Linked DNA regions of Pelodiscus sinensis. The protein of the gene in region 1 purifies or fractionates together with the protein of each later gene. This does not show direct contact. Links are inferred from orthologs where the notes say so. Each region holds a gene or a part of one and is shown on either strand. Other genes may lie near its edges. The genes, in order: SOX2, SSB, CCT3 and ARID1A.

Region 1 (7,854 bases):
TCTTCTTTGTTGCCTTTCCAGTCCCTCTAATTATGTTACTGCTTTCCATTTAACTTTAAATCTGTTGCAAGACTCCTGTTCAGACCACAGTCTTTTGATGGCAACAAGTGGTGTGAACCAGCAAAGTAGCCAAACGTCCTCTTACCCTTTCTTAAAGGAATGACATGTATACATTGTAAGTTGCCTACTCCACTTTTTTAAATCCAAAAAGATCAGCTCAGTTGGTCACACCTAGTAATGAAAGTCCATTTTACAAATAAATGATCATATTTGCATTTGTTATCTATATTGCTGTATTATTTATAATACTCATCTAACCACAGTGCCATCTTAAACTGTTCGAATCCTTTAAAAAAACATTTTGAATTACAAAAATAAATCCAAGACTCAAACGTCACGTCAGTTGTCCATATGTTGAAAATTTATTTATCTCAAACTGTGCATAATGGAGTAAAAACTTAAGTTGAATATGTACCTGTTATAAGGATGGTATTAGTTCAAATATATACATGGACTGTCGGCAGACTGATTTCAAATAATACAGAGCCGAATCTTTAAAATACAACTACGGAAAATAAGAAAAAAGAACTTAAAATATCATCACAATAAATTTACAGAAATATTACAAACCATAAGAAAATATTTCAAAACACAGTAATTTCAGTGTTTTTTGTTTTTGTTTTTGTTTTTTTTAAATCTGAACAGGATGAAGTTTGGAAACAAAAAAGCTATTATAAATTAACAAACGGCGTGTGACCCTGCATGGCAATTTCTGCTTTTTAACAATAAGTAAAAAACAAAAAACAAAAACAAAAAATTACAATCTAAACTCTTGCTCTTTTATAGCAAAACAATTCAGTGGTTTTGCAAGTACGTATCCTAACTTCTTTCCTTTTGTACAATTTCTAAAACAATTAAAATGTCCAAATTTTGTAAAATAATATCCACTCTACAGCTGCTATAAATTCAGCTGCAGTTATCACGATTTTCCAAGTCGACTGTTTTTATTTTTATTTTTTGTTTGTTTTTATGAATTGGCAAATTCTCAAGTTTTTTTTTCTATCTAAACAATGGACATTCTGATTGCCATGTTTATTTTGATAAATACTGTACAAAAGTTGCTTGCAAATATTAAAACATTTTTCTCGTCGCTTTTTGAGACTAGCTCTAAATATTATTGGTAAAGACTTCTGCAAACTTTCTGCAAAGTTCCTACCGTTTCTCTAGAACTTTTTAAAAGTTTTGTGTAGTTTCTTCCCCCTCCAGATCTATACAAGTTCCTTGATGGTTTTATTTACGCCCTCCCCAGTTTTCTCTGTACAAAAATAGTCCAAAAAAAGTCCAGAATCTCTAATAAAAGTGTTTTTTGTTTGTTTCTTTGTTTTGTTTAGTTTTCCTCCCTCCTCCCCCCCCCCCCCCAACCCTTTTGTCTTACATATGTGATAGAGGAAGTGTGCCATTAATGGCTGTACCAGGAACAGGTGCACTCTGGTAGTGTTGGGACATATGAAGTCTGCTTGGGGCAGCTGGTTCTGGTACTTCAGCACCTGGTAGATACATGCTGATCATGTCCCGAAGGTCCCCAGCTTGGCATGGAGCCCTTGAATGGGAAGAAGAAGTGACTACGGGGGGACTGGAGCTCGACTCTGTCTTGACCACGGACCCCATGGATCCCAGGGCCATCCCCGGGGTCCCTTGTTGGGAGTAAGACATGCTGTAGGTGGGCGACCCGTTCATGTAAGTCTGCGAGCTGGTCATGGAGTTGTACTGCAGGGCGCTCACGTCGTAGCGGTGCATGGGCTGCATCTGAGCCGCGTTGTGAGCGTTCAAGCCCGGGTGCTGTGGGTAGCCGAGCTGGTCTTGCATCATCCCATAGCCTCCGTTGGTCCAGCCGTTCATGTGCGCATAACTGTCCATCCTCTGGTTCACCCCAGCGCCCAAGGTGGCCCCAACCCCTACCCCAGTGGTCATGGAATTGCTGCCGGGGGCCAGCAAGCCGCCGGGTAATGTGTACTTATCCTTCTTCATGAGGGTCTTGGTTTTCCTCCGGGGTCGGTATTTATAATCCGGGTGTTCCTTCATGTGCAGGGCGCGGAGCCGCTTCGCTTCGTCAATGAACGGTCTCTTCTCCGCCTCGGATAAAAGTTTCCACTCCGCCCCGAGCCGCTTGCTGATTTCGGAGTTGTGCATTTTCGGGTTCTCTTGGGCCATCTTCCGCCGCTGGCCCCGGGACCACACCATGAAGGCGTTCATGGGTCGCTTGACCCGGTCCGGACTGTTCTTCTGGTTGTTGGCTGCCGAGTTGGAGTTGCCCGTGCCTCCCCCCGAAGTTTGCTGGGGGGCGGGAGGCTTCAACTCGGTTTCCATCATGTTGTACATTCAAACGGCTCTTGCCTGGTACAAGCCTTCGGCGGAGAAGCGAGAGATGCAGCCGCCGCCACAGGAAAGTCTCAAGCTGGACTTTTTTTGGTGGTGGTGTTGTTGTTGTCGTTCCTAGGGAGGGGTGTGGAAGGGGGAGGGGGACTCCCCAAAAACACACACTTGGCTCAGGGTTCGAGGCTTCCTCTTGGCGGATGGATTAATAATAATAATAATAATAAAATTATTATGATCACTGGAGCCTTGGTGGAAATACAACTTCTTCCTCCTCCTTTTCTCCCTGCTCCTTCTTAAAGAGCCAGCAAACTACTTTCCCCCCTTTTGCAAACACTCTCTCTCTCTCTCTCTGCCTTGACAACTCCTGATACTTTTTTGAACAAGTTAATAGACAACCATCCATGTGATGGGGGCTTGTCAGGGAATAAATGCGTTTGCCCTGGCCAATCAGCGCGCGCCGGCTCCTCCACTGAGCACAAGTCTCTACCCCTGGTTTTGCATGAAACGGGGCGGGGGCTCGGAGCCGCCGCCGGGACGGCTCTGCGGGGGGAGGCGGGTGCGCAAGGCAGGCGAGGCAGCCACTGGGAAGCCTTTGGCTCTCCTCTGACAGCAACAGGTCACGCACGCCTGTTGGAGGAAGTGGGGGAAACAGCGTTGTTGCTACATTAAAAAAACCCAACAACAACCCCCCCCCCCCAAACCTGGGGCTGGGGGAAAGAAGGGGAGGGCAAAGCCACTGGACTGGGGCAGCCAGGGACGGGCACAGCTGTGCCAAGCCTGGTCTCCTTCCAGAAAGCATCGGAAGCCCTGTGTCCCCCGGGATGTTTTCCACCCCGGCCCCTCCGCAGTCCTAAGCGCCCTCCCCCCATAGCACCGATTAACACCGGATCAATACGTGCACCCTAAACGGGGCGCTCACCCGGTGCCGTGCCAGCTAAGCACAGCTGGCCCCCTCCTCCCCCCCAGCGCTCCTCGGCTCCTGGGGACTCGGCCCAGCCGCGCGGTGCGCGCATGCTGGAGTTGCGCGTCGGAGCCCACTTTTGAATCCCTTTCTTTTGTTCCTCAACGGCAGGGAAGTTTGATCGCGCTCCTCCGAGCCCAGGGTTTGGCTGCATCCTTCGCCTCTCCCTCCCCCCTCCCCACTTCCCCGTCGCGGGCCCTTCCCCATTCAGACCCAGGAAAACAACCCAAACCGTCCTCCACTCCAGCAGCCTCCCAGAAAGAGGGGCTTTTTAGTGTGTCTAATTTAAACAAAGGGGGGGACCACGTTAAATACACGGTATTTCCATGTACCCATCAGCTCCCTAATAACAAGTCCCTACAAAGGAGAGGCCCATTGAAAAACAAACAAACAAAAAGACCAGCAAGCCCCGAGGTCTGTATTGGAAGGGGATCGATCTCCTCACACGCCCCATCGCCACTTATTTCTCAGATGGAAAGTACTTTTTGGGACTGTCCCCTGCACAACGCGGGGCTCAGCAGTGCCCGGGCTAGCCTGGCCCAGGTGCTGGGACGGGGCGCGTGGAGGTGAGGCGACTTGCGGGAAAGTGGGCAGGAGACAAGGAACCGGAGAGAGAAATGGGGAATGCGCTTTAGACACCGGAGGGTAATTTTAGACTCTCCCCCATTGTCCCGATGTAAAGATTTCAATAGGTGGGAGCTCAATGCTGGAGAGAGATGGCAGCACGTCCGTTACAAATAGGTAGTTTTGTTTCTCTTGTTGTCACTACACGGTGCCAAACAAAGCCCCGGCTAAGTTTACTTCCACTCTCTTGTGGGGATCTTTGTGGCTAAAATGCACTTGAGTACAAAGAAAGAAAGAAAGAAGAAAAAGAAAAAGCCTCACGCCATTTCTCTTCTATGAAGTGCTTAAGCGATCAGGGGCTTCCCCTCACCTCAACTTTCCCCCCAAACTGAAAATGTAGCGATTTCTATCGACAGGCACGTTCCATTTGTTAACTCGGGAAAATAGATTATTTTCTTTCGCGGTGCCTCTGCGCCCACACCTCCCCTTTACGCCCTTTTTGTACCGAGGCGTGTGTGAGGCCGGGGGTTCTGGGGCAATTTTTATAGCGGGGGTATGTGTGTGCTGAGAACTGTTCAACCAAACTGGAAATCCTGTATATAATGGAAACCACTTCAAACCAAGGGGTGCTTCAGCTCCCCCCACCAGCTCCAGCACCTAAGTGTGAGGCTTCTGATTTCAGGCTCTCCCAAGTTCAGTCGGCTAAATCTGCACAAGAAAACACCGGATCGTAAACAGACTGCTCCAGCTTTTTAAATAAAGTTTGTTTCAACAAAAGCATTGGGGGAGTGTAGGGCTGAGGGCAGAAAGGAGGTGGGGAGGGGGGAGATCGCCCTCATCGAAATATATTTTTATTTTACTCTTTAGAGACATAGATTGTAAAATCTTCTATATTTAAACTGTTCATCGGATTAAACCAAAATGCTGAAAGAATGATTTAGAAATACACACACACAAAAGGAGATGAGGCATATTGAGAGAGGGCTGCCTTGTACTTTCTGAGCTGGGGGTTACAGGTATGGGACTGCTGCGCCCCCTACTGGTAGATTTATCTCCCAGAGAATGTCCCTCCCTTTACTTTGAAAATAAAATGTTTTGAAATAATAAAGGAAAGGGGGGAAACCCACGAACTAAATAATTATATGTAATCTAAATAATAAATAAACCCCAACAGCACGAATGCATCTTTTATGGATTATGCAAATATAACCTACCGGAGTTAATGTGTTTAATTCGAAAATGTACGTATAGCCCATAGAGTGATAGGTTAAACCATAGAAAAATAGGTACAAATTATGAGATTCAAGATATAAACGAATCCTGATTCTCCAGACACTACCGAGGGCACACCAACTATTTACTTTGTTATTGTTTATGCTTTGGTCTGCACTTGATAACATTATTCCAAAAAATCTTATGGATAATTAAGTTTGAAAAAAGGGGGTGGGGGTGGGTGGTAGTGGTGTTTGTTTATCGTAATAAATTGATAACTGATGGCTGGTGTTATACAACCAAGGCGTATTTTTATTCTCCGCTCCAGCTACAGAGGCAGAAGCAGTTGGAATTTTGTGTGTATGTGATTCTCAGCTGAGGCAACGCAAGGAGAGATTTTACACATAACTAGATGCATATATTTGTGCCTGATCTCTATAATAACACATTGAAGAGGTTAAAGTGGCTGGCTTGGCTCTTTGTTAATTGCATTTATCATATAAATAAGGTATGGAAATACCTAACAATTGTGTTATCATGAGTATTTACAGCTTTATTTTAATTAACGGTGTTTTACTTATCAATGCAATAAACTGTCTCTGGCATATATACATAATAATGTGCTATAGAAAATAAGATAAAGAGATAGCTCTTTCAGAAAAATGTCCCAGTTTCCTGTATACATATGTGTCTCCCTATATCGGGTTACTGGCTACTCCTTTAAGCAATATACAAAAAAAAATTCCATGAAATCGGAGTACCTCAATCTTAATAATTAACAAGAATAACAACAACATTCTATTGAAGAATATAGACATTTTCAAAAGGAGGCCTGGAGAAGGATGGTGTAATCTGAATGAATTTAAAAATCGTTGCCTTTGGTATAATTTATGGAAATGAAAAGTGCTTACGTTAAACTACTAGTCTGCAAACCTTCTCAGCGATGGATTGTTAGGCACAGTCACTTTTATTCCTAGGTTGAGTCTATGAACAAGAAAATTGATGTTAACTACGTGGATTTTTATTTATTTACTGCTCTGACACAGGCTCTACCCACCAATTTCTTATAAAAGCGCGGAAGATACAACCTATCGTGTTAACTGTAAAAGAAATAATACATACAGATTATTTCTGTATTGACCCTACCAGTAACAAATCTAAAGCAAACTATTAAGCAGTCTTGTGGAGACGGAAGATTTCAGCCCTATTTTTTGTCCTTAGCTGCAAATAGAGGTTTAACTTGCAGTAATTAGGTGAGAACTAGCCAAGCATCTTACTATTATGATGCTTGTTAAAAACGCTTCTTTTCTGCATCTGCATTTGAGTGTGTTCCCCTCCAGTCTTAATCTTCTTATGGAAATGAAGGCGAACGGCAGGGAACCTGCAGAGACTTAGAGAATGTCCTTGTTAACTGGAATTTCTCAGCATTGCTAATTAGCAGAGTTTGACGACCACCAGTATTGGGGAAAGCTCTGTTTAGCCACTCACAAACCCTTCCGAGGAAGAGCAGACTAATTTTATTTTGTAATTAAAATCTGAAAAGGGCCCTATTTGACAGTTAGGGCTATGAGAGTTTTATCTCCCTGTGAAATAATTACTGCCTTGATAACTCAATTTTCTGCAAAATGTCAACTGTGAGCTCCAAAAGTTTTAATTTCATTACGTTAAAAAAAATCTAAAGACGAAAATGTACAGACAACTCCACCCCCCCCCCCTTCTAATTCTGGAACCAGTTAACCACACAGGAGAAGCTAAAGTTAGCCAATGGAAGTTTTACCACGCTAACTATATAACCCAATCTCCAAGTAACTTTAAAATACCACATGGGAAGCATAAAAGGTGGTGGTGGAGAAATACCCCAAAATATTTTTTTTCGCCCAGAGGAAAGTCTCCCAGAGAAGAACACCAAGGTTCAGGCCAATACTGATGTAGTTTTGATAGGGAAAGCTTTGTTCACTTACATCCATTAATAACTATGGGGGCGTGGGGGGGATCATGTACTGAAGATATTACAAGTAAGAGTTAAGCTGATTAGCCATTTTCTTTAAATGCCGCAATGTCGTGAAATCTTTGAAATATTATAAGGAAAACAGACAATTTTGTGTGCCTTTCTTGAAGCAACTAATTACAAAAGCTTGCATCTTAAACAGCTTACAAAGCAAGCGCTTAATATTTTGTTTACCTTGTTAAGTTTTCAAAGAGAGGGAAGCCTCACAACCTTAATAACAATCTCTGGGCTGTTAAAGGCACCGAAATCAACTTCAAAACTTGCGTTGGAAGTAACCTAATTGAGGGTGAGATACGAGCGCCCCTCTCTCCCGTCCCGGTTCGAAGGGATTACAAAACCCACCCCATTTTCAAAACTCCGCTTCCCTAAACCCGTGTTGGTTGTTGGTTTCTGGAGGGGGTCAGGATGAGTGGAAGGTGAATAATTTGAACGGGGAGGGGGGAGGGAATGGACACGCTGAAGCAAGTGTAATCCACCCTGCTTACATTTTAGATATTTTTTGATTATTTAAAACTGTTTAATCTGCTTTTTGTTCCTGTCTGTCCAGCAAGCAGCCCGATTGTAATGCTCAGAAGTGGCATTATACGTACAAACGAACGAGGGGTGGGATGGGGTGGGGATGACAAATGCTTCAGCCAAACCCAATTTCACCCAATAATTTCATTCAAGGACTCTAAGGACTCTTGAAAAGCTGCGGAATGCAGAGCGAGCTCCGCATTCCTTCCTTGTGCCT
Region 2 (7,773 bases), on another chromosome or scaffold:
AAAAATAAGTTGTTCCTTGATTACCTTTTCAGTATACACTTGAAAATGGTGCATGGGCAGCAAGCTCACACTAAGGTCTCATACAGAATGTAAAATGCAGACTTTGTGCACGCTTTTGGCCAGATTCTGATTAGAAACAAGGATGAGGCCTTTTATCTGGTCAAGCTGCCAATGTTTTTGTACTAAAACAATTTTGATACTGAACAGTCTTGTCATATCAGTAAATGGTTCAAGCACATCAGAGGAGAAATTCTTCTAGTCAGCCATGACAGCATAAAGCTACATGAGTGCTGATTGGAGTTAGCATTTTAACAGCATAAAAGTGCCTTGTACTAGGGATGTTAAAATGTGTTTATTCTAGGAATGTAAAATCCTGTTTAAAAAGTTAACTGGTTAAACTATGTTTAATCCATTAACTGGGATCTTGGAGAAGGAGGTTGCTCCACTCCAGTCCAATCTGCCACACGGTGGGCTAGAACAGACACTCGGCCTGTGGTGTGACGGGCCTTGGCTGGGCCATATTGCCCACAGCACACTGGGCCTGCTCGGGTTGAGCACTGGTTAACTAGTTATCTGGTAAGGCAAATGCTTACCATATAATCATCTTAACCCTTTATATCCTCAGCTGATATACTCTTACATACTAAAATTAGGCCCCTGTTTAGCCACTGCTAGCTTAGTAATATCGTTTCAAAATGATTGTGTTAGCTTACTCTAGTGAGGGAAATAGTTAATTGAATCATTTTTATATCAACATCTTCTTTGGCAATGTGGCTCTAAATGCATTGGCTGTAACCAATCATATTAGCTGTAGTACACAAAATATAGCCTGGGGGACTTAAGCATACTTCTAAGTAGGGATGAATGGACAACCAAGAATCTCTAACATCTTGGATAATGTAAATCAGTCTTGTCTAAACCAGAATGCTTTAGAACTTGAACAAGATCAGTATATCTTAAAAGCAGCACACCCTTCTAGCGTGGACAGGGGTATTCAGATATAGAAGTGTTTGGGCACTGAAATAAACAGCATGGTGCAAGGTAGGTATGTGAAAGTGTAACCATGTACACAGTTTTATTGGTTAACATGCATGGTTACATACAGCCCCCTCCACCACATGTTGTTGCTGCCTCTGTATCAAAAGAGTCAGATTGTAACCACTGACTTTTTTTGAATAAAGCTAGGGATGTAAAAAAAGTTTTAAAAAAGTAACTGTATAACCATTAAATATCCTAGCAGATACATGGTTACCACTTTTGTGGAGGGGTGCCCCTGGGATACCCAGGAAGCTGGCTGCCACCCCGCACTGCAGGATCTGCAGTTCAAACCTTATACTGCAGAGCTGCAGCATGCCCGCAGAAAAGTTTAACTGTAACAGAAACCAAATAAGCTAATGCTTATGGGTTAAACGGTTAAGGCACACAGCTGAACATTTATCATCATTGATGGAGCAGGAGACCTGTCAAAACACCACACCAGTGAATCTTGAATTTACTACATCACTGTCCTGAACTACTACAACACTCTTACATTCCTAGTAAACTGTGGTCTCCAACCTTTTTACACCCAAGATCACTTTTTAAATGACAGACCAAGACAAGATCTACCGCCCTGTCCCTTCCTTAAAGCTCCGCCCCTTCCTTGAAGCCCCACTCTTTCTATTCTCCTCCTCTCCATCACTTGCTATCCCCAATCCTTATACTGCTACTTTTTTTTAAAAGGTTTTTCGACATTTGGAAGTGCTCAGCCAGGGTGCACCATGCTCCATGCAGGCACAGAGGAGAAACCACGGATCAGCTGGAGCATAGGGCAGCCTCTTTCAGCTGAAAGCCACAGTCAGCTGGCTGGGGTGTTTCAGCCCTCCTGACCTCACAGCTCCCACCATTCCTCGCAGCTACTCACCTGTGTTGTTGCTCGGTGAGTAGCTGCTCCTCAAATGAGGAAATCTAATGTAAATGTACTGTGCAGGCACGAAGCTCAGAGAGGGCTCAAGAGCTACTCTTAGAGCCCCTAACATCTACCGGTAGATCACAATCTACTGGTTGGGGACCACGGAGTATGTTAGCATGTACATGGATAACCAGTAAGTCTGGGCTTATGGGTTAACCAACACAGTTATTATAACAGAGATGGGTGGGTGGAGCCAGTAGCCAGCTCTCCACACCTACTGATCACTACAGAGTACCCTGCCCCTACACTGCTGCCTCTGATACAGAAGCAACAGTGGGGGGGTGCGGAGGGACCTTAAAAGCCAGCTCCCACCTGCCCGCTGCATATAAGCATGTAACCACTAAAAGGTTCACCAGTTACACATTTACACAAACACATGTATTTTAACATCACTAATTCGCAGTAACAGGCAGTAGGTGCTCTACATCTATCCTGACCAACGACAAACAACATAGTTAAAGCGCTCGGGTGACCCATCTACTAACCCCAGGCAAGTGCCCTTCTCCCCAACGCTGCCCAAGGAGCTGGGCTAAACCACGCTCCTTTGCCACCCGCGCCGTTCCAGCGCCCGGCGGAGCTGACGCGATGCTCCCGCGTGCCGCTTACACATACGGGACTAGCCGCCCCACACGGGCCGCTGCGGCCGCCGCGCAGCCCAGGCCCGCCGCCGCCCACGGCCCAAGCCCCGTTAGCACCGCGCGCTCGGCGCAGGGGGCCGCCGACCGAAAGCCCGGACAGAGCGGCGGGGAGGCGCCCGCAGCGCTCCCGGAGAACGAGCAGCCCCAGCCACCCCCCTCGGGGCTCCGCACGTGGGACTGGCAGCGGCTCCGCAGCGCGCCGCGAGCCCGACCCGGGCAGGCAGCTCCAGGTTCCCGCCGCGTGGCCTGGCCACAAACCTGCCGCGGGACCCGGCGAAAACAGCACCGCACGCGCTCGAGCCTCCAGCGCCGCCGCCCCGCAGGCCCCGCCCTCTGCCTTTAAAAGCTGCGCTGAGGGTTCGACGCAGGCCGGGCTCTCCCAGCAGCCCCCGCGGCTCCCAGGCCTCGCTCCTTCGCTCGCGTGGGACTCTGGGACGGGCCGTGAAGGAGGCGTGGCCAGGCCGGGCCACTGCGGGCCCGGGGCGGGGTAAAGGCTCGCGGAGCCAACGAGGCCTGGTCCAGCCCGCCGGGCTCCGAGCTGCGGCTGGGCCTGAGCTCTCACGCCGTCCGCCCCGCCCCCAGCGCAGCCTCAGGCAGCAGCGCGCCGCGGACCTGGCTCCGCCTCACCGCTCCTGGCGCGAACGTGCCGCGGGCTGCGACTAGCAATGGGCCGGGTGGCCGCCGCGGCGCTGCCGGGGCCCGTACGCAGGAGTGTCTGGGGGGGGGGGGACTGGTCTGGAACTGCGGAGCGCAGGGGTGTGAAGGCGGCCCCTGTGCTCCCCCCAGTAAGCGGGAAAATCAGCGCCAGCTTTCCCCGCGAGAGGGAGGCTCGGGCAGCGCGCCCCTGGCTGGCCGGAGCATGCTTACTTGGACGGAGGGGGAAGGTGCTTTCGCGCCCTTTGCGCCCGCACCCTTTGCATACGGGCCTGACTCACAAGAGATTTGAGCTGAGCTCGTGGGGAATCTTTGCAGAGCTTTCCCATTTTCCCATTAACGCCCAGGCAGAAGCATTCTGTGTGTCCTGCCTCTCCAGAGTAATTGCAAGGAGAGGGGCTGTGGCCGCATTGTGGGACAAATGTTTGGTTCAAGGAAACCTGACAAATAGCTTTGTGGGGTTCAAGTGTCAGGCCAAGCAGTAATCCCTGCTCCCATCCCTGGGAATACTTTGGATGGGGGCTCATTGCCACCTTATTTCCCACATCTAGTGGATCTTTCATTTAGCTTTATTGACTCTGTAAGGGGGAGAATGGTCCCGCTAGTGTGGAGAACTTTCCTGAGTTCTATACCACCCTGGTGAAATGGACCAACGAAAGGATCTGAGTCCCCGCTCCCACTTGCTTTACTCCATGTCCTCCCTGATCCTGAGGGCTCCCCCTCCACTCTCCTGAATAGCCAAGACCTTAAAACCCAAACAGGGCTGAGCCCAGGTTTCCTGGGGCTTAATTCCTGACCTTGTAGTCACTTGGGGCAGGTGCTAGAGTGTCCCCACTCTTGGATGCTGTCATCACACTGCATGCTTTCTTGGCCTACTGATCATTCCATAATGTTCAAAACAAATACAACTTATTAAACATCAAGGCTACGTCTACACTGGCCCCTTTTCCGGAAGGGGCATGTTAATTTCAACTATCGTAGTAGGGAAATACGCGGGGGATTTAAATATCCCCCGCGGCATTTAAATAAAAATGTCCGCCGCTTTTTTCCGGCTTTTAGAAAAGCCGGAAAAAAGCGTCTACACTGGCCCCGATCCTCCGGAAAAAGCGCCCTTTTCCGGAGGCTCTTATTCCTACTTTGATATTTAAATCCCCCGCGGATTTCCCTACTACGATAGTTGAAATTAACATGCCCCTTCCGGAAAAGGGGCCAGTGTAGACGAGCCCCAACTGATTAGAGAGAAAAGAATAAGAAAAAATAAGAATGGTTAAACGAGAACACAGTCCTGCTCTGTAGCATGGGGACATCACAAACAGCAGTCTGCAGAGTGTAGGACAGTTCACAGTCTCTTCCTTATAGGCCCCTAAGAGACCCTGGATGTGCTGCAGGCTGGACACGCTTGCTCTGGCAGTGACCATACAGCCTCAAGCTCTAGGTGGCCAGATCCCTCTCCCAATCTAGCCTGCTGGGTCTCTTGGCTGGTGATATCTCCCTGCCCAGAGCCTCTCCCCCCACTTTGCTGGTCTCAGCTGCTCACCACATCCAGCTGCAGGCTGTGCTGCTTTGCCAGTCTCCAGCTCCTTGCGTTGCTTCTCTGTCCCTTTTGGCTCTCTGAGCACTGCCAGTCTGCTGCTCAACACAGGGTCTGTGCTCCTTAAGCTGTGTGTGCTTGGCTCTGTTGCTGCAAAACTGCCCCTCAGCACAGCTTGCACTCCTTGGGCTGTGTGTGCCTGGCTCTGTTGCTGCAGGACTGCCTCTCCACACAGCTTGCTCCTCTTAGCTGTCTCTCAGCTCTCTCTCCTTGCTCAGAGAGACCCAGAAAAATCCCAGCTCACAGGGAGGACAGGCCTGGCTTCTTACTTTCCTCACTGGCCTGCCCAAACTGTCAGTCAGGCCAAGCTGGAGTTTTGGCTGCTTTCCATTGTCTCTGGGGTCTGTCAGTCTCATGGACCCTTCCCCTTTTGATACTAGGAGTTGGCGAACCAAAAACTCCCACAGAGTTTTATTAAGGGACTAACAGGCCCATTAAATCAGGAGTTGCCTGCCAGATTTTGTTTGCTGTATTTTCTTGCAGTAAATCTCATGCCTCATTTGTAAGTGCCATGAATGGAGGAGTTTCTGCCAAACTACTGATTCATGTGAGCAACATAAAAATCTGTGGCTTGCTAGAATATGCTGCTGCTGGTTGGGAGCACTTTATTTTTAACACAAATGCAAATTCGCATCAGCAAGGCTTGCTCTAAAGCAGTGGTCCCCAACCTTTTGAGGTTGTCAGGCGCCAGGGGGTGTGGCCGTTGGCCCGCCAGGGGCCGGGGACACTTGCGCACCCGGGGGCGGCCCCCCCCTATAGCCGCATGCCCGAGGGCGCCCCCGCCCTCAAGCGCCGCGCGCCCGGGGCCGGCACCCCCTCCCTCAAGCGCCGCGCGCCCGGGGCCGGCGCTCCCCCGCCAAGCGCCGTGCGCCAGGGGCCAGTGCCCCCCCCGCCAAGCGCTGTGTGCCTGGGGCCGGCGCTCCCCCTGCCAAGCGCCGCGCGCCCGGGACCGGCGCTCACCGTGCGCCATGTGCCCGGGGCCAGGCCAGCCCCGAGCACCTGGCGGGCGCATGCAAATGCCCCCGCGGGCGCCATGGCGCCCGCGGGCACCGTGTTGGGGACCATGGCTCTAAAGAGACTGTACACTTCCTCAATACCAATATCTGGTAAGCATCACCTGGTAAGGGTGACTAACATTGTTTACACCGGGGATTAGGTCATAGATACACGGACACAAGTTGCTTATGTAGACCAAGCATGAATCCTTCATTGCAGCATAGTAGCAAACTGAACCAACTATGAGAAAAAGTATTAAGGACAGCTCTTCCAAGCTGTACTCTACCACTTAATGGGGAAAGTCCACTATGTAAAACAGTGATGGTCAAACATGAATTATGAGTGGGCCATCTGAGTGTTCCTCCTCAACCTGCAGCCCACTGGGAATCCATCTGTGGCCCCTCTGTCCCCCTTCCCCACATTACTGTTGCACATTGGGGTACAGCTGATGTGCAGTGTTCCAGCTCTGCAAGGGAGGGAGAAAAGCAAGGATGGAATACAAATCAGGCAATTTGTGCATTCAAAGTGCTGGGATGAAGGGGGAGAAACAGGGAAGTGCGGGGCTTCAGGGCATGAGAGGGAACAGCAAGAGGGCTCATGGGCCACACGTGAAGCCCCAGTGGGCTGTAGGTTGCCCAACACTAATGTAAAACATGAGAGGTAATTGACCCATTCTGATTTGCAATGATGAGTCCTCAGGTGGCATATTGGGGGCCACTCATTTGGCCTCTCCAATTTATCATTCCTCTTTCCAGTGAGAGAAACAAAAGTGATAAAGACTTAAAAAACCTGACCTGGAGTAAAGGTTTTAAAAAATGAGGCATGTTTAGTCTTAAGAGATTGTCAAGTTCTACTTCATTCTTCAAATATCTGTTATAAAGAGGGCAGCAAACAATAAATTGTTCTGCACCTCCCTGAATCTATGGCAAGTAATAATAGGCCTAATCTGCAGTAAGAGAGATTTAGGTTAGGTATTAGGGGGGGGGGGGGAAAAGGGTAATTAAACTCTAGAATAGGCTTCCAACTAAATCTCATCACTCACTGTTTTTAAGAACAGATTAAACAAATGCCTGCCAGAGATGGTCTAGCTTCATTTGGTCCTGTCACAGCACAAGAGGCTTCACTTGTCTTCTCAATGTCTCTTCCAGCATTATTTCTATAGCAAAGCACAGTTGATTTTATGGGTGCATCTACACAGTACCCTTACCTTGCAATAAAGCACTATTCCAAAATATCCCTTAATCCTCATGCAATGAGGTTTACAGGAATGTCAGAATAGTGAGCCTGTTATATTTCGATATAATGGGCTTGCTTTTAAGATGTGGAATAGCAAATAGCTCCACAGTGTAGACATTGTCCAGTACAATAGATTACAGATCTCTGCTCCCACTCTGCCTGCATACACAAGATCTTAAAGTTTCACTAGATACTGTTAAGTTCATTAAAAAAAAGACATCTCTAGATGAAAGTGTACCTACTAGCCCCCAAAATACAGGCAGTCCCCGGGTTACGTACAAGATAGGGACTGTAGGTTTGTACTTAAGTTGAATTTGTACTTAAGTCGGAACTGGCGTCCAGATTCAGCCGCTGCTGAAACTGACCAGCAGCTGACTACAGGAAGCCCCAGGCAGAGTTTCTCTGTCCCGGGCTTCCTGGAATCAGCTGCTGATCAGTTTCAACAGCAGCTGAATCTGGACGCCTAGGACAGAGCAGCTGGGGCGCTGCCAGGTAGGTCCCTGCAGCGCCACACCTCGGTGCTGCAGGGACCAACCCGGCAGCACCCCAGCTGCTCTACCCCAGCTGTCCCCAAGTCTACCACAGGCGTCCGCGAGAAAAGCCTGGTCCACTGTGCAGCAGACCATGGAGACGCAGGCGGCGGGACCGAGACGCGCAGCGGTGCTGCCGCCCGCGCCGCGGTCCCGCCCGGGTCCTCCGTGGCTTTG
Region 3 (7,283 bases), on another chromosome or scaffold:
AAGCAGGGAAATGATTCACACAGCCCAAGCTCACACAGACTTGGGAATATATCCTAAGGGTCTTGGTTGTGCCCAGAGCCAGGATAGACTCCAAAAGTCATAGAATCATAGAACTGGAAGGAACCTCAAGAGGTAACCACGTCCAGTCCCCTGCACACACGGCAGGACCAACACCATTTTGATCATCCTTGACACGTGTGTCTAACCTGCTCTTAAAAATATCCAATTATGGAGATTCTATAACCTCCCTAGGCAATTTATTCCAGTGCTTAACCACCCTAATTCTAGTCCCCTGCTTTTAACTGCTAGGCTGTGTCTAGACTGGCATGATTTTGCGCAAATACTTTTAACGGAAAAGTTTTTCCGTTAAAAGTATTTGCACAAGAGAGCGTCTACACTGGCATGGATGCTTTTGCGCAAAGCACATCTTTTGTGCAAAAGCATCCGTGCCAATGTAGACGCTCTCTTGCGCAAGAAAGCTTCGATGGCCATTTTAGCCATCGGGCTTTCTTGTGCAAGAAATTAACTTGCTGTCTGCACTGGCCCTCTTGCGCAAGGATACTTGCGCAAGAGGGAGCATCAGAGTATTTGCGCAAGAAGCACTGATTTTGTACAGTACAAGGTCAGCGTTCTTGTGCAAATACTTGCGGCCAGTGTAGACAGACGGCAAGATTTTGCGCAAAATCTTGCCAGTCTAGATGCAGCCCTAGAGAACACTCCTTTCCCAAACCTGGGGTGATTCTAACACTTACAGAATTGTTTCTGTCCTTTCCATAGCTTTGCAGCCTGGGCATAGGGGAAACCTGGGCTGGGCCTCCGTTGGGAAAATGGAAGCTCAAGAAAGCTGGGGGAGGGTTTGGCAGGACATAGCTTCTTAAAAGAAGAGGAAGGGCCTTGAAAGTTGTCCTCTCCTATGAAGAAAAAAAAAAAAAAAGGCTTTGCATTACCAAGATGTTTTTCACGTTTGAATAATAATCCTTAGCTCTTCTAGAGCATTTTTCATCAGTAGCTACCCAAGCACTTTACAAAGAAGGTCAGTATCATTATCCCCATTTTACAGATGGGAATGCTGAGGCACACAGATGCAAAATGAGTTGCCCATGGTCACACAGCAAGTTGATGGCAGAACCAGACATGGAAGCCAGCTCCCCTGAGTCCCACTAGAGGACTCATCCACTGCCCATCCACTAGGCTAATAGGCATAGCATGATATGGGTTTATTCCTTGTGTAGTCATTTACACAAGTGCAGAACTCCACCATTCTGCTCCATTAGCACTTTACAGCAACTTCACACTGGTGAAAATGACAACAAAAAAGGCAGGGCAATGGAAAATCAGGCCTCAGTTGTTAATGCTGCTTTGTAGAAATCAACCAAGTATGTGTGTGAAGTAGAAATGCAATCAACGTACTTTTCAAATGTTGTTTTTCTTCCTGAGCATCTGTTTCTGGCTCCATCTGAGGAGGAACAGAGCTTGTACCTATGGAAAGGAAAGAATGCTATTATCCAGGGGAACATAAAGGAAGGAGGTTGGAAAGACACAGACTAGAATACAACTTTCTTCTTTGCTGTGTGTGATAGCCAGACACATTTTTTTTTTTGTAAACAGGGGTGACTAAAAGAATGAACAATTAGAATAGATAAAGTCATTTTATATTGCAATAAAGTTTATGACCACTTGGAACTTTACAGTGATACTCATAGCACATGCTGAGGGCCGCAACTTAAGTGTGGTTGCATATACACGTGTATATACAAATATATGCAAATAGCTTGTCACACTGATGGGCATGAATACAAAGATTAAGGCAAGACTATACAACCTGCAGGCCCCATTTAAGTCAGTTCTGCTGATATTAATAAAATGCAATATTTACCGGATTTCCACCCATATGACAGCACTTTTAATGAGCAATGATAGTCCAGGAATTTAACTACTAAAATGCATATCTAGAGAAGACCATTATATTGAATACTTTTTTTGTTTTGGCTCCCATCCATGTGTTGAGCCCAAACTGCTCCGCCGGCCACACACAAACGAGCCAGGGGCTGCATGTTGATTAGCCCTGAGTTATATGGTTGATTTACACCATATCCATATTTCAGGAGGCTAAAAGGAGAATCTTCTTTAGATTATAGCAATGTACAGCCTCTGGCACACAATTCATTCTCTTTCCATGCACAAGTATCAGAGGAGTAGCTGTGTGAGTCTGTATCTCCAAAAACAATGAGGTGACCTGTGGCTCTTTAAATACTAACAAATTTAACAAGGCATAAGCTTTCATGGGTAAAAACCACTTTGTCAGATGCATCTGACAAAGTGGTTTTTACCCACAAAAGATTATGTCCAAATAATCTGTTAGTCTTTAAAGTGGTACAGGACTCCTTATTGTTTTTCAATTCACAGTGGCCTATCACAACATGTATCAATGCACATAGTTCTCTGTAATGTTAACAGAAGAGATAATACTGAAAGACAAAGAAAAGGGCATTTACAAGTGAGGAACTTGCTTTTAGAGAGGTGTGATGGCACAGTCAGGGTCCCTCCAAATCCTGCAGCAGCAAGAACAGACTCCGCCAGTGGAAGAATAGAGAGAGGTTTATTGTTCCTTCAGGATACAGCACAGCACATATGTGATGTGGCTACAGGGGCCAGGGCCACGATGCCTCAGACACTAGGGTTAGGGGTCCATCGCCCCTAGGCCCCAGCTTAGCCTCTTCTCTCCATGCTTCCCAGACAGCCACTGCCTCCCTCCCAGGCCCTGCCCCCCCAGCCAAGTGTTGGTCTCCGCCTTCCTCCCTTTGTCTCTCTCCCTGGGAGGCCAAGCCTAGGTCTGTGTCTACATTGGTGCGATCTTGTGCAAAAGTGGCTGCTTTTGCGCCAAAACTTGCTGCCTGTCTACACTGGCTGCGAGTTCTTGCGCAAGAACACTGGCGTTCTAATGTATGAAATCAGTGCTTTTTGCACAAGTACTATGATGCTCCTGCTCAGGAATAAGCCCTCTTGTGCAACTGTTCTTGCACAAGAGGCCAGTGTAGACAGGCAACATGAATTACTTGTGCAAGAAAGCCCTATGGTTAAAATGGCCATCAGAGCTTTCTTGCGCAAGAGAACGTCTACATTGGCATGGATGCTCTTGCGCAAAAGCACATGCCAGTGTAGACGCGCTGTTCTGGAAGAGTTCTTGCACAAGATCATGCCAGTGTAGACGTAGCCCAAGTGTCTGGGTTAATACACATTTGGGAGAGTCAGTGAGAATCTCACATCACAGTGCAAGGGGACACCGGGTTACAGAGCAGACAGCACCCCCACTACGCCACAAGAGGCAATGGGTGTTTTTGCACTGTAAGTCCTGGCTATTTGATCTGAGGAAGTGGGTCTGGCCCACGAAAGCTCATCATCTAATAAACCATCTTGTTCGTCTTTAAAGTGCTACATCGTCCTGCATTTTTCTTCAGCTACACCAGACTAACACGGCTACATTTCTATTACTATCCTGACTCCACTGTGTGTGGAGAGAAGTTGGGCAGGATAGTGAGTCAGTGGTACCCAGCACAGCTCCCAAAGGTAATACACATCTGTGCTCAATGTTGTGCATAGCCGGATAGCCCTAGCGCTATCTTACGCAGCTGGGGCATATGGCTCGTTGTGAAACTACAACTCCCATGAAACACCAGTGAAAGGAAGCCCCAGGTTAGGCCTACAACTCCCATCGTGCCTCAGGAAAAAAACTACGGAGCGTGACAAAACGTAAAACTACAATTCCCAGCATGCCCAGGAGTAAAACCGCAACTCCCATGATGCCCAGTGTGAGTGAGCCTCCCCCCGCCCCCCCCCGGGGAAGACTACAATTCCCAGCATGCCTCGGCGGAAAGGACTATGACTCCCGGGTCTTCTGGGGAAAGCCAGCTCTCTATAGGGCTCTGCTCTCCTCCCCGCTCGCCTCTGTGGCCGAAACCCGAACGTGACGGACACAGCGCGGAGCGGGTTCGCTTTCCTTGTCCAGCCAACTGCTGTTCGCTTGTGCGCATGCGCCTCACTTTCCTCACCACGACCGCCCGGCTCTCTGCATATGTGGGCTTTACCTCTGCCGAAGCGCTGCGCAGGCGCAGTTTGGGAGCGCATGCGCAGTGTTCCCTGTCCACCCCCTTCCTAACGGTGGTAGTTCCCAGTTGAAGCCGCACGCGCTGAGGCGGTACGTCTCAACCGAGCTTGTGCAGAAGCAGGGGGCGAGGCCTATTGGCGGAATTCCGCCTCGCTATTGGGTGCCGGGCGTTTGGCTCGGGCGGCGATTGGCCGGCCGCGGCGACGGGCGGGGTAGGGTGTCGAGGCGCGGTGAAGCGGCAGTGCTGGTAGGAGCGTGTCTGTCTCCAGAAGGTTCCGCGCCGGCTTCTTAGCTCCCAGACGCCGCCGCCAGGATGATGAGCCAACGCCCCGTGATCGTGCTCAGTGAGTGAGGGGGGGGCAGCGCGCACCTTGCTGGGGGCCCCCTAGTGTAGCTCCCGCCCCTCCCCCATTCGTGGGGGGGGGGGGGGCAGAAAACCTTCCCTCAACCCCCCCCCCGGAAACCTCCTCCCCCGCTCTCTGCACCTCCCCCCACCCCCTAACCCATGGGTCGTGTCGGCTGGGTCTCCTGTAACCCCTCCCCCACTGCGCTATAGGTCCCTGCGCCCCTCCCCTGCTCCACGCCCCTCCCCCACTCTCTTCCTCATTAGTGTCCCCCCCCCCCCCCCCGTGAGATTTTTTTCGTACCCCTGCTGTAGGCTCCACAGCCCCCCTTGGGCTCCCCTCGGCTCCCCCTCCCCCATTTTATCCATCCCCACTAAGGATGCAAGGTTGTTAAATGTTTAACTGGTTAAACGGGGGATGGGTGGGGTTGCTCCAGCACCCAACTATTAACCATTAACATCCCTAATCCCCACCATCCCCCTTGTTTCCTGAGTCATCCTCTCCATATAGCTCTCTACTCCCCCCCCCCCCCCCATCACCTGGTACCGAGAGTCCTCTGGTCCTTCTGCCTTTTTTTTCAGGTTCTTCCCTGATATTGGTGCCGCCCGCTAAGATCCACTCTTCTTGGGTTCTGCTAGAGTTCTTTCCATTTGCATGTCTGTCGTTTCTCCAGTATATTGTGTAAACACCCACATTTCTGCTCCAGCCTTGGGGGTCATCCCCTATAACTTCCACCCATTTAGGTTCCCCTTCTTGTTTTCCAGCCTTTCTCATCTTATGTGCTATTCCTCTATTTTTCTAATTTTTTTCATCTGTGTGGAATAAATTTTGAGTACTAAAGCATGTCCTTATGTGCACCACCAAAAGAAACACATTAAGTTACTGTGCAACAATGTTATAGTAGATTATCCAGAATATTGACTCATTTGAACTTTCAATCTTATTGGTTCTATGTGGGTAAAATTAAGAAAGCAAGTTGGTATAATTTTATTCTGGTGTCTGTACCTCTTGGATACTCTTATTTAAATGGCTGGATTCATTTAGAATTGGCCGTAATTCACGTACACATAAATAGAATTGCATCCTTGATATGTTGTCAGTATTGTTTCCTCAACACTAGATTTCCCATTAAGAGTTCACAAGATCAGATTTCAGTTGTATTCATGCTGTTGCTATTTTTTGTTTTCTGCATGTCATAGGTCAGAATACAAAACGTGAGTCTGGAAGGAAGGTCCAGCTTGGAAACGTCAATGCTGCCAAGGTACTGTTTTATGTTATGAAGTATGTTAGCAAACTAGTAATCAAAAGGTGACAAACACAGAATCATGAACTTGAAACATTTTCAGCAGCTCCCTTGACATCACTATTATTCACTTGGTATTTTTTTACAAATTTCACATGAAGAAATGCTGATCACTCTATTGCTGTACTTAAACAACAGCTGCAATTGAATATAACTTTTTGTTTTAGTGACTACAAAAAAAGAAAAGAAAAATTAAACGTTAATCCAAAACTTTACTTATGTCTGAACCTTGACATCTTGTTTAGCAAGTAGCTTGGAGTAATGTCTTGAGCAGATGATTACGTCCAAATACAGTAAAACCTGTGCTATCCAGCACTTAACTAGCCGGAAAACTTTAGAAACCTCCACATTTCTGAGCCAGGGAACAACTTGTTAAAAGCAAAAAAAAAAAAAAAAAAGAAACTGGTGCTTTAAGCTGGGCCGCTCCTCAGACACTCCCCCTGCCAGACGTGCATGCAGCATGTACCTGGAGGAGGAACGAATGGCTGCTCTGACCGCCTAATACCGGCCGCATCCTGGCAGCCCCACGGCTTGTGGCTGCCTGCCCTCCACCCTCTCCTCCTGGCAGCCCGGCATCACCTGCAGCTCACCCCCGCCAATTCCACTCCCCCCCCTCCAATCAGGCTGCATCCTTCCTCCCCCTTCCCCCCCCTCCCCCCCCCGCCAGTGGCTCGTGGCCCTCCTCTCCCTAGCAGGCCACATCCCGGCCCCCGCACCACCTAATCCCCGGATGTACCGGATAACATAGGTTTTACTGTGTTGTGTCTGATGTCCGAGTAGAAGTGACTGTTATCTTAGCCTTCATGTTATATTGTCATGCCTGGTTAAATCATACTCTTGCTGCATCCAAAGAACTCTAAAATAATTGTCATTTGTGTTAATTACAAGGTCTGCATTTTCTGTGTAGTTAGACGAGATTATTCAAGTCCATTTGGAATTTTGAAGCACTAATGTGTAAATGAAACCCTCAGTGCTGATCCCAGCATATTAAAAGGAGACAGCTTAGAATCAGACTGGGTAGCCTCATATTTAAGAGTGTAAAGCAATAATTGAAACATTAGACTAGGTCTGAATCAGTTAAATTCTTCAGTGTTATTTAAATGAAGATTAAAAGCAGAAACTACACACCTAATTCTTTCAACAGGCACAGTGTGCATAGGAATTTGTAACCTGTTACATGACATTTAGGCCAGTGGTCTCAAACCTTTTTACACTCAAGATAATTTTTTAAATGTCAAACAAGCCAAGATCTACTGCCCCATCCTTCCCCCCCCAACCCCACCCCTTTCTTGAAGCCCCGCCCTCTCTGTTCTCCTCCTGTCCATCACTTGTTATCCCCAGCCCTTATACACTCTCAGGGTATGGCTACACTGCTGCTTTTTTTTTTTTTCAATTCTTCTGTAGGAAGACGGTTTTCAAACATTTGGCCTGTCTACATTGGGCCAAATGTCATAAAAACCCCTTTTCTCTCGTGCATGTTTGCTCTTCTGCTAAATAAAGTGGAAAAACAAACGCGACCCTGGATGCAGAA
Region 4 (7,353 bases), on another chromosome or scaffold:
AGAGCCATCAAAGAAATCCTTTATACCAATGGGAAAGTCACATAACCAAAACAAACAGCAAGCCCATTGTACAGAGAACCCCTGCTACTCTTCCGACAACACAGAATCTATTCCAGGCTGTATAAAACATTACAAGCAAAATAAATCCAAGGTACAAACAAAATGCCATCGCCTCTTCTTTTGTTTCATGCACAATGCAACAAGGGCAGCCTGTCTGGAACTCTGCTCCTGCTGATACAGTATTGCTACTGAACTTCCTCAAGGTCACAGCCAATTTCAGCTGTGGAATAAAAAGGCAGATAGTGGCAGTGATGGTTTGGGTTATGGCTGGCAGAAAAGCAGAGTGTAAAAGTTTATGAGCTCATCAGGATTGTTGTACCATTACATCAGAGGCAATTATAAATGGCCAAGAGCAGGAGATGAGGAGCCAATCAGATCACAGATAGGATGTCAACCTAAGACCAACTGTCTCCTGGCTTTGACAGAAGGATTTTACCTCCATAATTCAAATCCCAAACCAAAGCAATCTGCACTTACTACTCCAATCGCTGAACTGTTTACCAGCACTTCCAGGGAGAGGCCCAGCCACTGGGCTAGCCAAGAGACTGCTCAGGAAAATGGCCACAGCTTGCCTGGGCAAGCTACAACTGCCCAAAGCAGGCCACTTCCCACCTTCCTACCCCCAGGAAGTGAAAAGGCCCCTCACTAGGAGCAAGAAGAGGAGAAGGAGGAAGAGTGTAATGGGGGCAAATGTGTAAGTGCTGCTCTGCAGAGTTCCCACTACCTCTGTTCCTCGCACCCCATCCCCAGCCCAGCCCCGAGGAGCTCAGCTACCCACCTTCCCCTCATGCACACAAGCACCACAGCGCCAAGCCCTTCCTCCACCCCAGGGCTCCCTCTATCTCCCCTCAAGAGCCCCCAAGGCAGGCAGGGGAAGTAGGAAGCTGAAGGCACCTCTCTAGAAGCCTCACACAAAGGCTGGAAGGGGAGGAAGAGTAGGCAGAGAGGCAGCCATTTTAGAGAGAGAGACAGAGACAGACAATGGCAGCTCCCCAGCAATGTGGGTCCAAGTAGGGGAGGGAACAGTAAGAAATTCGGCCATCTCGTGACCCCCTCCATATCCCCACGTGCCCTCATCCCTGCCCTTGAGGAGGCCCCTCTTCTACCCTTGCCCCCATTGTCCTCAGCCACCCCACGTGCGCCCATCCCCTACTCCTAACCCCATTCCCTATCCCCACCCGCATCCCTCCCGTGCCAAGCTCTCACCTGCTGGGTCCTAGCGAGCGGCTGTCCCCCTCCAGCGCTGCTGCTCCCGGGGCTCATGGGCGCGTGGTGGCTCCTTTGTTGCCCCCCTCCTGTGGCCGTAGCCCAGGCCTGGCTGTTGCCCCCGCCGTACTGGGAGGCCATATCCGCGGCCGGGCCTTTGGAGGCGGCTCCTCCGTCCTGGGGCCCGCTGCTGTAGTCGCCCCCGGGGTAGCCCTGGTAGCCACGGGCTGAGCTGGGGGAAGTGAGCAGCTGGTTGAGGGTGGGAGTCGCTGTGGGCTGCGGGGTGGCGCCCCCTCCTCCTGCTGCCCCGCCGGCGGCCGAGGGCCCCATGGCCCCGAAGCGCTGCTGCTGGAAGGCGGCGGCGGCGGGGGATTTGGCCCCGGCGGCCGCTTGCGCGGGGCTCTGCGCGCTGCCCCGGGGGGAGCTCAGGGCGTAGGCCTGAGGGGGAGGCGGGTAGGCGCCGGCGCTGCGCCCGGCTGCCGCCGGGTAGTAGGAGTTGTACTGGTGGTTGGGGAAGCCGTGCTCAGCACCGCCGTGCGAGTTCTGGGGAGGGGGCGGCCCCGAGGGGGCCCCCGCCGGTCCCGGGTAGGGCTGCTCCAGGCCCCCGCTCTGCAGCGCTGCCATGCCAGGGCTTTGTTGTCCGCCATGTTGGTGGAAGGCAGCCGCGGCGGCGGCAGCGGCGGCAACAACCTGGGCTCCCCGGCCGTAGGGCTGCCCGAAGCTGTAGGCTGGCGGGGGCAAGGCGGCCGGGTGCGAAGGGGGAGGCTGCTGCGGCGGCGGCTGCTGCTGCGGCGCCCCCACCCCGTCGCTGCTGCCGCCGCCGCCGCCACCGGGCGGCTCCGGGAGGTTATTGTTCAGGGTGGCGGCGGCAGCGGCGGGCCTGGGGCCCGGATTCCCGTTCGAGCTCTTCAGGTCTGGCTCGGCCCCGGCGTCCCCTCCGTTGCTCTCGGCCCCGTCCTGCAGCTCCTTTCCCGGGGGGCCCTCGCTCTCCGCCTGCTTCTCTCCGCCGCCGCCGCGCTCCGCCGCCGCCTCGCCCCCCGCCTCCTCCGGGGGACAATCCCGCTGATGCGCCTCCGCTTTCTTCAGCTCGGCGGGAGCCGGGGCGCCCAGGCTGCTGGTGGTGGCGGGGGCGACCTGCGCAGCCATGATCCCCCCCTCCCCACCCCCCGGACTCCTGCCCCCGAGCTGCTCCCCTGCCTGGCCGGCCGGCGGGAGGCCTCACTGCTCTGCTGCTCCCCGCTCAGGCGGCGGCGGGCTCTTCAGGGCAGCGGGGGTTCATTCCCCCCGGCCTGGCTGGCGAGGCGGGGAGGGCTCCGCTGGGCTGGGCTCCCCGGGGCCTGGCCCCGCTGTGCCTCCTCGGTTGCAGCCGGCGGAGAAAGGGGAGGAGGGAGCGGGGAGGGGGGGGAGGAGGCGGGGGGACCCGGGACGGGGCTCCCGGCGTGGGAGAGGAGGGAGGGAAGGGGACTCGGCGGGCGAGCGGACTCCGTCCCTGGAGCCGGGCTGTGCGGTAGGGTGGCCGGACTAGGCAAGCCGAGTAGCAGCTCCCGACTCTGGTCCGCCGAGTCCTGCTCACTCCGACACGAGGCTCAGCACTGCCATTTTACCCAGCTTCGCGGCGGCCTGCCAAACCTGGAGCGGAGCCCGGCTCGGACTGGAGCCTCCCCCCTTCACAAAGGAGGAGCAGGCAGGCCTCGGACGCTTGCAACTCAGCAAACCTGAGGCCGCTGCCGCACACAAAACCCGCAGTGGATCCCGCGGAGCTGAATCCAACCTTCCGCCACAAAAGGAAGCTCCCTTACTGCGAAACACGGAGCGGATTTCAGCCTGAGCGAAGCGGACTGCCACAGAGTCCTCCTCCAGAAAACACGCACCAAAGCGCTCCCCACGCAGCTCTACTGCCCGGCGCCCAAAAAGATGACTTCAACGACCAGAGGCTAGTGTTCATCTGGGCTAAAGGAGAACAAACAGAACTGCATTAACCAAAGGGCTGGGAACTAGGACTCCTGAGTTCTGGACTAACTGCAGAAGTCAGGAAAGCTGGGTTTTCTCCCAAAACTGGGATATTATGCTGGCCACAGGACCAGGCATGGATCTGAGTGCCTGGAGTACAAGGACATGCAGGCTGGGTTAGTCCAGGGGCCCATTCCATCCAGCATCCTGTCTGCTAATACTAGATGCTTTAGCGGAATTTACAAAAACTCTAAATGGAAAATTATGAAATAAGCTGCCCTGAGGGAAGTGTCTTCCTTAGCCTCTCAGGGTATGGGCCACAAAGGTTTGGAAAAGGATTCTAGCTACCAGTCAGTATCATGCACTGCAAGTTTCATAGAAGGATATGGAACAGAGCCTATTACTTAGGATGTCTAATGTGATCCAATTTTAAGTGACTCTACTTTTGGGGGAAATTTTTACACTGCATTGTTTGCTACAGGCCTGTGAAGTTCAACCAGAAGAAAGACCCTTGGGCTAGATAAAAGCCTTTTCTTCGTCCCAGGATTTTCCATTGATTTAACTGTTCTAAACTGTTAAAAATTTCCATTTCCTGTCTGTTGCTTGTGTTCCTTTGGAAAATGTTGGCAGTATGCCAAAATACTAACTGAACATAAACATGCTGAAGTCAGGGGCTTACACTATTGCCAAAGCTGCAGGCACTGCCCTGGGAGCTGGGAGGGGACAGGGAAAGATAGAGCAAGCCACGCCCCTTCCCTCCTCCCCCATTACATACCCTTCAGACCAATCATATGTCCTACCTCATTTTCATCATTTTCTATGAGAGCATCACCCAAAGCAGGACTCTCCCACCTCAGGCTCCTCTCATAACTACACCAGATCCATACGGGGCAGAGCAGCATATGTTCCCTATTCCAGAGGACCACATGGGGCAAATATCTTTCTCCTGATAGTGAGACAAGAAAGAGAGCCAAGTCAGGCCATCCCTGTGGATACAGCATATTGCTCCAGCAGGCCATCAGCAGAGTTAGTCTTGTAACTAAAGTGATGCAAGTAAGGCCCCGCCCCCCTTACAAAAACCCAGGAGTCTTGCAAAAATATATTAAAAGAAAGTTAATTATACTGCAAAGTCAAGCAGTTGGAAGTTAGGAAATGTCACAGTTGGATTTGCTCATTCAACCTGAATTCTGCCCCCTTGCAATATATACATTGATATATTCCAATTATACAGTATGTTCACAATATTTTTTTCCACAGGATTCTTATCTTATTCAGATAACAGTTTGGATAAACATGGAGCTGCATTAAGGTTGCATGGATTATTGTAAATCTGATACTTCCTATCTTTCAAGCGCTTGACTTTACAACCTAAAAAACTTTTTGATAAAAGTTTTGTGTCTGTAATACATATATAATTATGTAAGTTTCTTCTTGGTAATCAGATTTTTAAAGAGTGCACAAGTTATACAATTTTGTTTCACAATCCTATCCATCAGCACCCTTTGTCTTTATATGATCTACTTTATAACCTGCCCCCATTGATGATTAACTGGAGTAGAACAGGCTTTTGTATTGGAAACCCCATCTCTTTGAAGCACCATGTACACCTACAACAAATGCAGAAATAGGTAACAGATCACTCCCCAACGCTGTTTCTCCCATATGTGAAATGAGATTACTACTAAATCTGTCCAACATCTCTGTGAGAAAAATGTTCACAAAATACTTGCAAGATCCTTTAATGTAAGGATCTCAACAATGAAAAATATCATTGCTAACAAGTCTCGCATTACATTAGTACCTGCAACACTATTTTTCAGTTTGGATCTTGATTCCATGCATTGGGCTTGGAGAGGGCATAAAGCAGTGGTTCCCAACCTTTTGGGGCTGCCAGGAGTCCGGGGACAGGGCCGCGCTCGTGCCACGTGCCTAAGGGCGGGGCTGTGCAGGCGCCACATGCCCAGGGTTGGGGCTGCGCATGCACCGCGCATCTGGGGGAGGGCTGCGCACGTACCGCATGTCCAGCACTGTGCGCCCGGGGCAGGGGCCACGCATGCATCGTGTGCCCGGAGCCCGGGCCGTAAGAATGGCTTGGGCTGGCTTTGGTCACTCAGTGGGCGCACATAAATGCCCCGGCAGACGCCATGCAGGCACCATGTTGCGGACCACTGGCATAAAGTATAGCAGGTGTACTTCATTGTCCTAACAGTGTAGTTAGTTATGAAGGACAGAGACAGCACTGAATTTTTTACCTCTCCTGTAACTTTTCTTTCATTATGTGAATGTTGCAGCTGCTATTTTCTGATATAATCAAGTTCTATAACCCAATCACCATTCTCACAGTACATTAGGAAGAAGGGTTTGGTTTTGGTTTTTGTTTTTTGTAAAAGGGAAGTTTTACAAGAGATATAGAACTGCTACACAGAAACACTACCATAAGAAAACATACTTCTAGGGGGAAGGTAAAGATACAGTCTTTCAATTCCAGAACATCATTTCAAACCAAAGGGCAGTAGTTCCCAGTAAAGATGATCAGCTGTTACATTCTTAAAGCATATATGAAATGGATTGGTGGTCTCACCCATTTCTTAACTATAGTCCACGTCACAAAAAGCATTATCACAGCATCTTTGATGGCAGTCAAAGAGGCCAAGCATAGGACAGTAAGTAGGGCAGCACCAGAAACACTAAATGGTCACTGTTAATACTGTGTATGCTTTACAATAAACAGAAAATGTCAGTGTCTGATGCAATCAATTAACCAATACATTTCAATACAAAAATTAGAATATAACAGGTGTTAAAAAACAGAAGTGACTTCAGAGTAGTAAGCTGGGGTTGAAGTTAGCACAAGTCAATGATTAGCTAAATTCAGAATGTATTCCACAGTAACAAATGGCATTACAGGCTCCAAAACCAAGGCCATGTTGCCATTTTACAGCAGAATGTATAACAGAGTAGATTCCACCTTAGCCAATTGGCCTAAAGAAAGAGGGGATTCTTTTCTTCTCCTCCTCTACTATTTTACTTAGGGTTGCAATGGAATAATACATAATAATAGCTACAGTATTTTTAATAGTATTAGTATTTATTTTGTAATAGCCACCCAAAAGCTGCTCTTAGGATTGGTGCCACAAAAACATATAGGAAGACACAATTCTTACTAAAAAATGTATAGTCTAGTCTAAAACAAAAATTATATGATAGTATAAAGCCAGAAAATGGATTGGAATCTCCTTCACAAGATGCACTTTACCAACTGCCACGCAATTCTAAAACAATTTCAGAGGGCTTCATTTGGGTTGGATTCCAAAAATCACCAATATTTTCTTTTTACCCATTTGTAAGTCTATCACAAAACTTTTCCTCTAGCAGAGGAGGGTTGGGCATGGCATGTCTTTATATGCTTGCCCTATGAGAACATCACTATTAAAGTGTATGAAAAAAATAAAGGAAATGAACAGAAACCAAGCTAGATTCTCACACAAAGGTGGCCCTGTGGCTTTACCAAGTTCTATGGTGGGCTGTAAAATCCAAAGAAGATTAAAGAGCAACAAAACGACAGGATACCCTTTTCAAGGATACTTCCCCCACTTTAAATTTTAACAAATTTTAAACCGCTGCACATCAAGCACAAATAAACTGGAACAAGCACTACCATTTTATCCTGAGTAGAAACCAAATTAGAGTGTGCCTCATGAAATTAAACTTTGCCATCTCATTGGACCCCTTTAGAAGCTATCAAATACAGTCCAGGAGCCTACATTTCAGTGTAAAGCAGTGATACTCAGACTGAGGCTTGTGAGCAGCAAGCGGCTCTTTAATGTGCCAAAGGGATGATACTTGGTCCTGCTGTGAGGGCAGGGGACTGAACTCGATGACTTCTCAAGGTCCCTTCCAGTTCTATGAGATGGTATATCTCCATATATAATTATAATTATATTATATTATATTAAGGTGTCTTCTCCAACTCTTTGCAGTGCAAGATATTAAAACAAAGCATGTGATTTAATTAGTAGCCAATCAGATGTTTTTACTATGTTGTTAACCAATTGTAATTGATAAAATAATTGATCATTTTCAGTGAGAATTCATATATGTGTATGCACAACACACATTCTAAATATTTTCTCTGCC

Evidence for each region.
Region 2: the proteins of SOX2 (region 1) and SSB purify together in Homo sapiens (affinity purification with mass spectrometry; 3 studies listed by BioGRID and IntAct, with this or other methods). This does not show direct contact. The link is inferred for Pelodiscus sinensis from reciprocal best matches to the Homo sapiens genes SOX2 and SSB.
Region 3: the proteins of SOX2 (region 1) and CCT3 purify together in Homo sapiens (affinity purification with mass spectrometry; 3 studies listed by BioGRID and IntAct, with this or other methods). This does not show direct contact. The link is inferred for Pelodiscus sinensis from reciprocal best matches to the Homo sapiens genes SOX2 and CCT3.
Region 4: the proteins of SOX2 (region 1) and ARID1A purify together in Homo sapiens (affinity purification with mass spectrometry; 3 studies listed by BioGRID and IntAct, with this or other methods). This does not show direct contact. The link is inferred for Pelodiscus sinensis from reciprocal best matches to the Homo sapiens genes SOX2 and ARID1A.

Annotation. Positions count from the first base shown.
Region 1 is NC_134720.1:46,099,263-46,107,116, reverse strand, and holds SOX2 (transcription factor SOX-2), read right to left. Parts: upstream 3,016-7,854; 5' UTR 2,380-3,015; coding exon 1,432-2,379; 3' UTR 389-1,431; downstream 1-388. UniProt on the Homo sapiens protein: Transcription factor that forms a trimeric complex with OCT4 on DNA and controls the expression of a number of genes involved in embryonic development such as YES1, FGF4, UTF1 and ZFP206. Binds to the proximal enhancer region of NANOG.
Region 2 is NC_134717.1:39,956,518-39,964,290, reverse strand, and holds the start of SSB (lupus La protein), read right to left. Parts: upstream 3,005-7,773; 5' UTR 2,848-3,004; intron 1-2,847. UniProt on the Homo sapiens protein: Binds to the 3' poly(U) terminus of nascent RNA polymerase III transcripts, protecting them from exonuclease digestion and facilitating their folding and maturation.
Region 3 is NC_134734.1:16,138,961-16,146,243, forward strand, and holds the start of CCT3 (T-complex protein 1 subunit gamma), read left to right. Parts: upstream 1-4,275; 5' UTR 4,276-4,418; coding exon 4,419-4,449; intron 4,450-5,648; coding exon 5,649-5,710; intron 5,711-7,283. Other genes in the region: TSACC (TSSK6-activating co-chaperone protein), read right to left, coding at 753-911, 1,411-1,479, 3,864-4,125. UniProt on the Homo sapiens protein: Component of the chaperonin-containing T-complex (TRiC), a molecular chaperone complex that assists the folding of actin, tubulin and other proteins upon ATP hydrolysis.
Region 4 is NC_134735.1:2,198,906-2,206,258, reverse strand, and holds the start of ARID1A (AT-rich interactive domain-containing protein 1A), read right to left. Parts: upstream 3,008-7,353; 5' UTR 2,413-3,007; coding exon 1,267-2,412; intron 1-1,266. UniProt on the Homo sapiens protein: Involved in transcriptional activation and repression of select genes by chromatin remodeling (alteration of DNA-nucleosome topology).